2 linked regions of the Drosophila melanogaster genome follow. The protein of the gene in region 2 interacts with the protein of the main gene of each other region in a pairwise test. Each region holds a gene or a part of one and is shown on either strand. Other genes may lie near its edges.

Evidence for each region.
Region 1: the proteins of Btk (region 2) and CG4563 interact in a two-hybrid assay, tested with the Drosophila melanogaster proteins (one large-scale study listed by BioGRID).

The regions. Positions count from the first base shown.
Region 1 is NT_033778.4:24,451,322-24,455,078, forward strand, and holds the start of CG4563 (uncharacterized protein), read right to left. Parts: upstream 1,720-3,757; 5' UTR 1,685-1,719; coding exon 1,535-1,684; intron 1,468-1,534; coding exon 1,073-1,467; intron 1,007-1,072; coding exon 890-1,006; intron 832-889; coding exon 1-831.
Region 2 is NT_033779.5:8,298,674-8,302,430, forward strand, and holds the start of Btk (bruton tyrosine kinase), read right to left. Parts: upstream 2,074-3,757; 5' UTR 1,833-2,073; intron 1-1,832. Other genes in the region: wol (wollknaeuel), read right to left, coding at 2,864-3,206, 3,263-3,659. UniProt on the Drosophila melanogaster protein: Required for proper ring canal development. Also required for the development of male genitalia and for adult survival.

The sequences.
Region 1 (3,757 bases), on a different chromosome or scaffold from region 2:
TCCACCACCACCCGCTGGGCCACGTGGTCGATGACCTTCTGGTCGGCGATCTCGGCGCCCTCCTTCTTGATGATCAGGGCTCCGGCGGCGTCACCGTATCTCGCATCCCGCACGCCTACCACGCACACGTGCTCCACCTCCGGGAGCTCGGCGATGATCTGCTCAATCTCGTTGGGCCAGTAGTGCTTGGACTTGTACTTCAGCAGGTCCTTCTTGCGGTCCACCAAGTACAGGTTGTTGTCCTCGTCGAAGTAGCCCAGGTCGCCCAGGTTGATCCATCCATCCTGGAGGGTGGTGGCCGTGTCCTCCGGGTTCGAGAGGTAGCCCTCCCACTTCAGGCCGATGTCGATGAGCACCTCGCCCGTCTGATTCACGCCCAGCTGCTGGCCATCCTCGCCTTGGATCTTGATCCTCATGCCGGGCGCCAGTCTGCCTACAGAGCACTCCAGACTGTGGTCGATGTTGATGGTCACCACTCCCGTCTCCGTGGTTCCGTACGAGAACATCACGTAGGTCTTGGGCAGCAGCTCCTGGGCCCGCCGCAGTAGTGCCAGGGATATCCATCCTCCAATCACGAAGGCTATCTTCAGGGACTCCAGTTGCTCGCTGGTGGCCAGTGGACTGGTGAAGAGCTCGTAGGCCTGCCATGGCGCCATTGCCAGGCAGGTGACCTTGTACTTGCTGACCAGGTAGAGAGCCGTCTCGGCGCTAAATGTCCTCCTGGATATGATGCGAGTGAAGCCACATGTGAGATTCATTACGGTAATCGAGAATCCGGTCATCCAGTCGATGGTGGCACTGGTGTACAGCACATCGGTACTGATGCACAGCCTGTGGGAAGAGATGGGTTAGACTGGCTAGTCTGGGAGCTTTGAACTTGAGAACTCACGAGTTGGTGGATGCAATGTGGCGGTGGGAGAGGGCAACTGCCTTGGGCAAGCCAGCAGTGCCGGAGGAGCACAGGACCACGGCGATCTGGTCGCCACCAGTGGCCAGGGAAGCAGGTCTGAAAGATATTTAAAATAATGAATTTATTGAAATTTAAATTGATTGAAGATCTCAAACTACTCACACATAGATCTTCTCGGCGGGATGGGGCTTTACGAGGTCCTCGATGCTAGTAACGCCCTCCACTTTACCCGTGAGCGTGATCAGCTTGGGAGACCACTCCTTGGTGATCTCCTTGATGCGGTCGTAGTCCGGACCGTCGATGAACATGATCTTGGGTTTGGTCACCGAGTAGAGACCCTGTACGATGGCCGGCTCCCTGGAGTAGTTGACGGCGTGGAAGGGCGTGGCCTGGAAGAAGCAGGCGGTGGCCACGGGGATCACGAAGGTGCTCGAGTTGGCGATGATCCCGACGCGGTCCTCCTGGGTCAAGCCCTCGCTCTTAAAGAATAGGGCAATCCGGGTGGCGTAGGCCAGCATGTCGGCGTTGGTCAGCACGGTGCCGTCGTCGTCGGTGATCTACTTTTATATAATCGAGCTCATCAGATTCCCGTCTCCGCCGGCTACCAGTCACGCAATCGTTTACCTGAATCACATTGGTGGGCCAGCACCTCAGGGAGTTGAACACGATCTGACCGACCGAGGTGTTGTGGTCGTAGACCGTGGGCCGTGGCGGGCCACTCCAGACCTGGGTCTCCTTGTTGAAGAAGGTGGGGAAAACCGCCTTTGTCGGCATTTTGCTAGTCCAATTCTAAATCTCTACTGAGTGCCCAGAGCCGTTACGTTGTCTTTTTATATCGCCCTGAAGGGGCGCTTATCATATCAATTAAGCAATTAATCGCTACACTTGCCGAGTCCAAAGTTTGGCCAAAATAAGTCGAAGATTTACGGTAACATCAGCTGATTCCCGAGGTGGGCTCGTCTAATCTAGCCGGAGTCACTTTTTTAATTTCCGCTCCAGGAGGCAGTGACTTCCGTACCACTTGTCCCATGGGAACACCTTTCAGAGGCAGGTGAGTAAGCAAACTTCGCCGGGGTCAAAAGTATTAATTCCCGAACTTTTGTCAGATAAAAAGCTGTACTATATTCTTAGAAAAATATTTAACAGATAGATTCTGACGAACGATATCTTGGAAACTATAAGGGATTACCTTGCAAGTACAATATTTTTCGTTCTAATTTGATTGCACCTGGTATTACTTGGACGTGGCATAAAAAATGTATTTTGTGATTGATTAACAGAGAATTGCGCTTTATATTGTAAATAGTTTTAAGCTCGTGATATTAAATATCCTTTGAAGTATCTATTTGACCCGCCTGGAACGTTTACTTTAAGTTTTCAGAAACTATTTCGCCAGCTTAACCTGAACTTAAATGTTGTTCTGCGCCGCTTTCAAAGGACTCTCCGAAATAGTTCCTTTTAAATGAACTCAACGCCGGCATTTTATTATGGCTGTAATAATTTCGGGGAGGGCCACGCCCTGTTGCGCTATTTGCATTGTGTGTCGGCGCCCCAAAAGGGGGGCTGTACCTCGAAAAGCTCCGGGAGTTCGGTTGCATGCATATATTAACATGAAATTACAGACAGAGCGGCCAAAAGCGAGCAAAATAGTTTAAAGTGTTTCTGAATTTGTTTGGCAAAATGAGCAGGACCCGGCGAAATGCATAAGCAAGGACCCGGACAAGATGCTCCCGACGATTGGCATGCAAATGGGGGGTGCCACCGCAGGAAACTGCATCTTAAGGCTTTAAGTCCTACGGACTTTCGGGCAGGACGAGCCGCCGTTCCGAGTCAGCGAGTGCGAGTGCGAGTGCGATTGCGATTGCGATGCCGATTTGATTGGCGGTTTTGGGCGCCAGTCCTGGCGGGTTACCCCAACGTGGTCTCCTTGCCCACTCGGGCGTGACACGAGGCGTCAGTTAATAATGTGCGTTATAATGAGATGCCCCCACCTCCCAGGTGATTCCACCGCAAGTATGTCGGGTTGACGAGATGCTATGGCCGTACTTGTGGATGACTAATCCGACGGACAGACAGCCAGTTTGTGCTTCAAGTGCCGGCTTAATTAATTAACATCACTCGAGTGCGAACTGTTACATAATTGAATTAGCAGTCGATGGCTGATAAGGAAATACTATTATTCCACGGCTTATCGCCCTCCGCGTCACTAATTCTTTCTGAATGAAAGTGCACCTGCGCTTGGGGGTTTCACCTGTGTGATAAGACTAAAACTTTGTTGCCAGGATGGCGAGGTAACTGTGTCTCAAGTGCAAATAGTTGCATAATACGGCGGACTGTCGATGCCTGATAAGAATACTATTTCACTGGAGATCCCTATTGTTTTCTGAATGAATATAGGCTTCCTTGATGGGGTTCCAAATTTTCGATAAGAAATTAGTGGAGAAACTAATTGGGCCCACTGATATCTAGTTTGTAAGCAGGCGGCTTATCAGCTCCAACACTGCCCACCGTGAGACATCATTTTGCATTTGATTTTAATGGTTCCCACAATTGGAATACCACCTCTAGATAATAAGTCATTTTAAGCTCGAAGTTAATTATTAATATTCACTGCAATATAGAGATATATACTTAGATCCTAGATACGATGGTCACTTTCATAAACTATAGTTTCCGTACTTTTTTCGCACTTGCTTCCAACTGTCTGGTATCAGCGGTGTGCGGTCAGTGTCCCTGACCTTAGACACCAATCCCCCGGTGGCTCGGTGGAAAACATTTGGATTTGCGTTCGGGGCCTTATCACGCTTATCACACTTGTTGGTGGTCCGCCACGTGCTCGACGGATGC
Region 2 (3,757 bases):
TCTATTTTGGGGGGCGTGGGCGTGGGCGTGCGAATCTTTTTTGCAGCGCCCCTCGAGGCATTGACCGTGGAACATGGGGCCACCAAAACATTGGAGCACTGGGAGTTACCTGGTTGACTAATTGCCGTGGGCGTTCCGCTTGGCATCAATCAGTATGGGATGGCGAAAAGTGGATGAAAATAAAGTTATTCATTTACAGATACTGTATACTGCCTATTAATGGAGAAGTGTGGAGCCAAGGAAGGGAAAATCCAGTGGACAGACGAGTCGGTCAGCAAATCGAACGATTAAACGAACAATTAATTAGCCCCCGAGCAGACAGGAGATACATATAGGTTGGTATACACTAGTAAAGATCACTTGCTGACCTTGAAGTCGCGCACAGCGGATTAAAGGATTAGCCCCCAAAGCGGCATATTCCCCATTTCCTTGCCACCTTGTCCCCACAACTTCCATTTCGCAAAACGAGAAGCGTGTACGCAAACAAACGGGCCGTTGAAAAGGTGGCTCCAAGCGGAGGAGCAGCCACCACACGATCTCTGGCATTATCACACTTCAACAAAAGCTAACAAGACGCAGGAAGACTCCAGGAGCGAAGTGCTCTGAATTCGGGAATGGTTGAGTTATTGATTTATTTAAACATCTTACTAAGGATGATTTTAAAAAGAGTTTGTTTAATAAAAAAAAGTTTTAGTTTTCTTTACTCTGACGATATGATTTTCTTTATCTGATTCACAAATCCGCTTCTGATCATCAAGGAACATGAACGGACGCGTCTGCAAAAAAGGGAAACAAAGCTAAGGCGACAAATGCTCGTGCGACAACAACAATTGGCTGGATCTCCTGATCAACTCTTCCTCCTCACCGTCTCCTGACGCCCCCCACCCCCCACGCGCTTTAATCAAGCAGAGCCGCTACAAAAACAGGAGCGGAGTGCGGGGGCATGGGCGAACGGAGCGTAAAAAGAGAGGGCGAGAGAATCAGAATCTTCAGCGCAACGCGCATGGCCATAAGTAATAAAATAAACACGGACCGAGGCACAGAAAGGAAAAAAAGGATGGCAAAAAGGCAGAAGGCGCAATGTGTACATAAATCTTTTTGGTGGAGCGAGAGGCCCAAAGACCTGGGCTATAAGCACATCAATATACATACATATAGTATATATGTATATATACATATAGCGGGCGTGGCCTGGCAACTCGTTTTTGACTTTGAATTTCGCCACGCAAATGGTCGCGCTTAGTTTGTATTCTTCTTTGCATTTAATTTTTGTTTATTGTCGCGCTTTTTCTAGTGGAAGAGGAAGACTGGAGAATCTGCGACCTTAGCAAGAATTTCAGTCTAATTTGAAATCAATTTTTGAGTTACTTTATATTCCAAAAAGATTGATTTTTAATTTAAAATAAGTTAAGCAACTATGTAAACGATATTTTTTTAGCAGTACTTCTATTTGTTATTATTACAACAACAAAAAATTTCGTGTAATTAGTTTCTATTGTGACTTTAAGCTAAAGTCGCCATAAGCTGATTAATAAAATCAGCACAGCATAATTATTTATATTAACTTTGATTTGTTTTTTTTTGCGTTGCACGATGCCTTAAAATGAAATGCATTCAGAAAATGCAAAAGCAAGGGCGTCTGATTAGAATGCGTCGAGCACAGAGTTCGCCTTTCTTATCAGAATACAATAGTTTCAAGCGCAGCTTGCTGGGCAATTGAATAAATGCTGATAAGACAAAGAACAAAAGAAGTATGTATGTAATTCGATAGCGATAAAAAGGGGACGGAAAGGAGGAATAAAATTGATAACTGTGCCAGTTCACCAGCTTACCACAAGTGCCGTTGATTGAGCAATTTGAAGCAATGACCCGACCGCATAGCAACAACAATAACAGCAAGTACAACAACAACACCAGCAGCGCACACCACTAACAAATCACAATTCTCCAATTGGAGGGGGCAGACGCAACGGGTAACGCAACAATAACAAAACACTTTCGTTTGCGCGGCGACGAGAGTAAATACGAAATATCAACCGACCGGCTTGTTCAGCATTTGCATACTGCGAAAAAATCTTTATAAACAATATATAACGCAGGCACAGCTGAGACGCTCACACAGACGAGCAGACACCCGCACACACCTGCACGCAATTTTGGAGAGCGGGAGAGGAGCAACAGGCGCAACGTAGGATTCCTGGAATTCCTTACTTAGCGGCGCCCATGGCAGTTGCACTCGCGATCCTACGCTTTAACTAGAATCTTTTCCGTTTATTCACGTGGCAGCTGTATCTATGTTTGATTGGTTTGTTTACACTAATTAACTGTAATTAAATAGTAACGATTTAATACGAAACTAAACGCGCCGCCGCAACTTCTTTGCAGTGTGACCGCACTTCGAGTGGGGAGATACACCGATATGAAAATAACTACTCTTAAAATACCAGAAGAATACAAAATACCACACATACTGCCTTTTATTTTATTTTCCCGCGTATTTCAATATTTCAAAAAAATAACTAGTGATTTTAATTATTTCTTCGTTCCAAAATTAAACAAGCAATGTGACGAAACTTTATATATTTAAAGCGCAATATACTAAAGGAAGACGACTTGGTATAGTTACTTTTTTTAGATTACTAACAATTTAGAACCATTGCCGCGCAATTTTATTCAAATCAATTATTTTTTATTTGAAAAAATACTGTACTTAAGTACTTAACTAGCTAGAATTCGTTACACTTTATCAGGCCTACAAAAATAGAGTTTAGAGTTAAAAGAGTTTTGGTAATGCACGACAGCGGAGTAAGTTCGACACAAAATGCTAGTTAATATTGGGAATGAGATGCCCTCCAAGTCCACATCACTTTTCCTTCTTCTGTATGGAGGCAATCCGCCAGGCGCCCACCAAATATCGCACCCAGATCATGAACAAATCCCTGCCCATTTGCAGCCACGACCAAAATGGTGTCAGTTTCGAACCATCGATCTCCGTCCATCGAACGGCAACCTCGGACATTGGTAGCTTCAAATTCTCAGCGAGGTACAGCAGCTCAACATCAAAGGCCCAGCGCTCCACATGCAGACTGGTGAAGAGTTTCCTGGCCGTCGTTCGGGTGAACAGCTTGAAGCCACACTGGGTATCGCGAATGGAGCGCACGGCAAACAGCCAGACGAGGAAATGAAAGCCGTGCATCAAAATTGTTCTGTGGCAACGCAGATCAGTATTTGGTCAGCTAATAAATGTAGGATTTTATCTTACCTGAAGAAACTCCTTGTTGCAATCGCATCGTTCTCCAGATGTGCTCTCGATCCAATGGCAATGCCATCGTCTCGCCATTCGGGAGCTAATTGCTTGAGGGCCACCTCCAGTTTATCGTAGTCGGGAAACTTGGTGGCTCCATCCGCATCAGCGAAGAGCAGATTACGACCCCGTGCACTTAGCATACCCATGCGAACGGCACCTCCTTTCCCACGATTTTCGATGAGTTCCAGCACGCGTACCTTTTCTGCTCCGTGCTTTTTCGAGTAACCCAAGGCGACGGATACGGTGGCATCCTGACTGCCGTCACTGACCACGATGACCTCGTATGTGAAATTGGGAGTGCCAGCAGATTTCTGTTCCAGAAAGGCCAAGCACTCGTCCAGCATAGAAGGCACTAAACGAGTATAAACACACACAAATGAGAACAAGAAAATCGAATAGCTTTTGGGGAAAGTAACTTAAAGTAACATGTTAGTGTAATGAAGTTTCTGT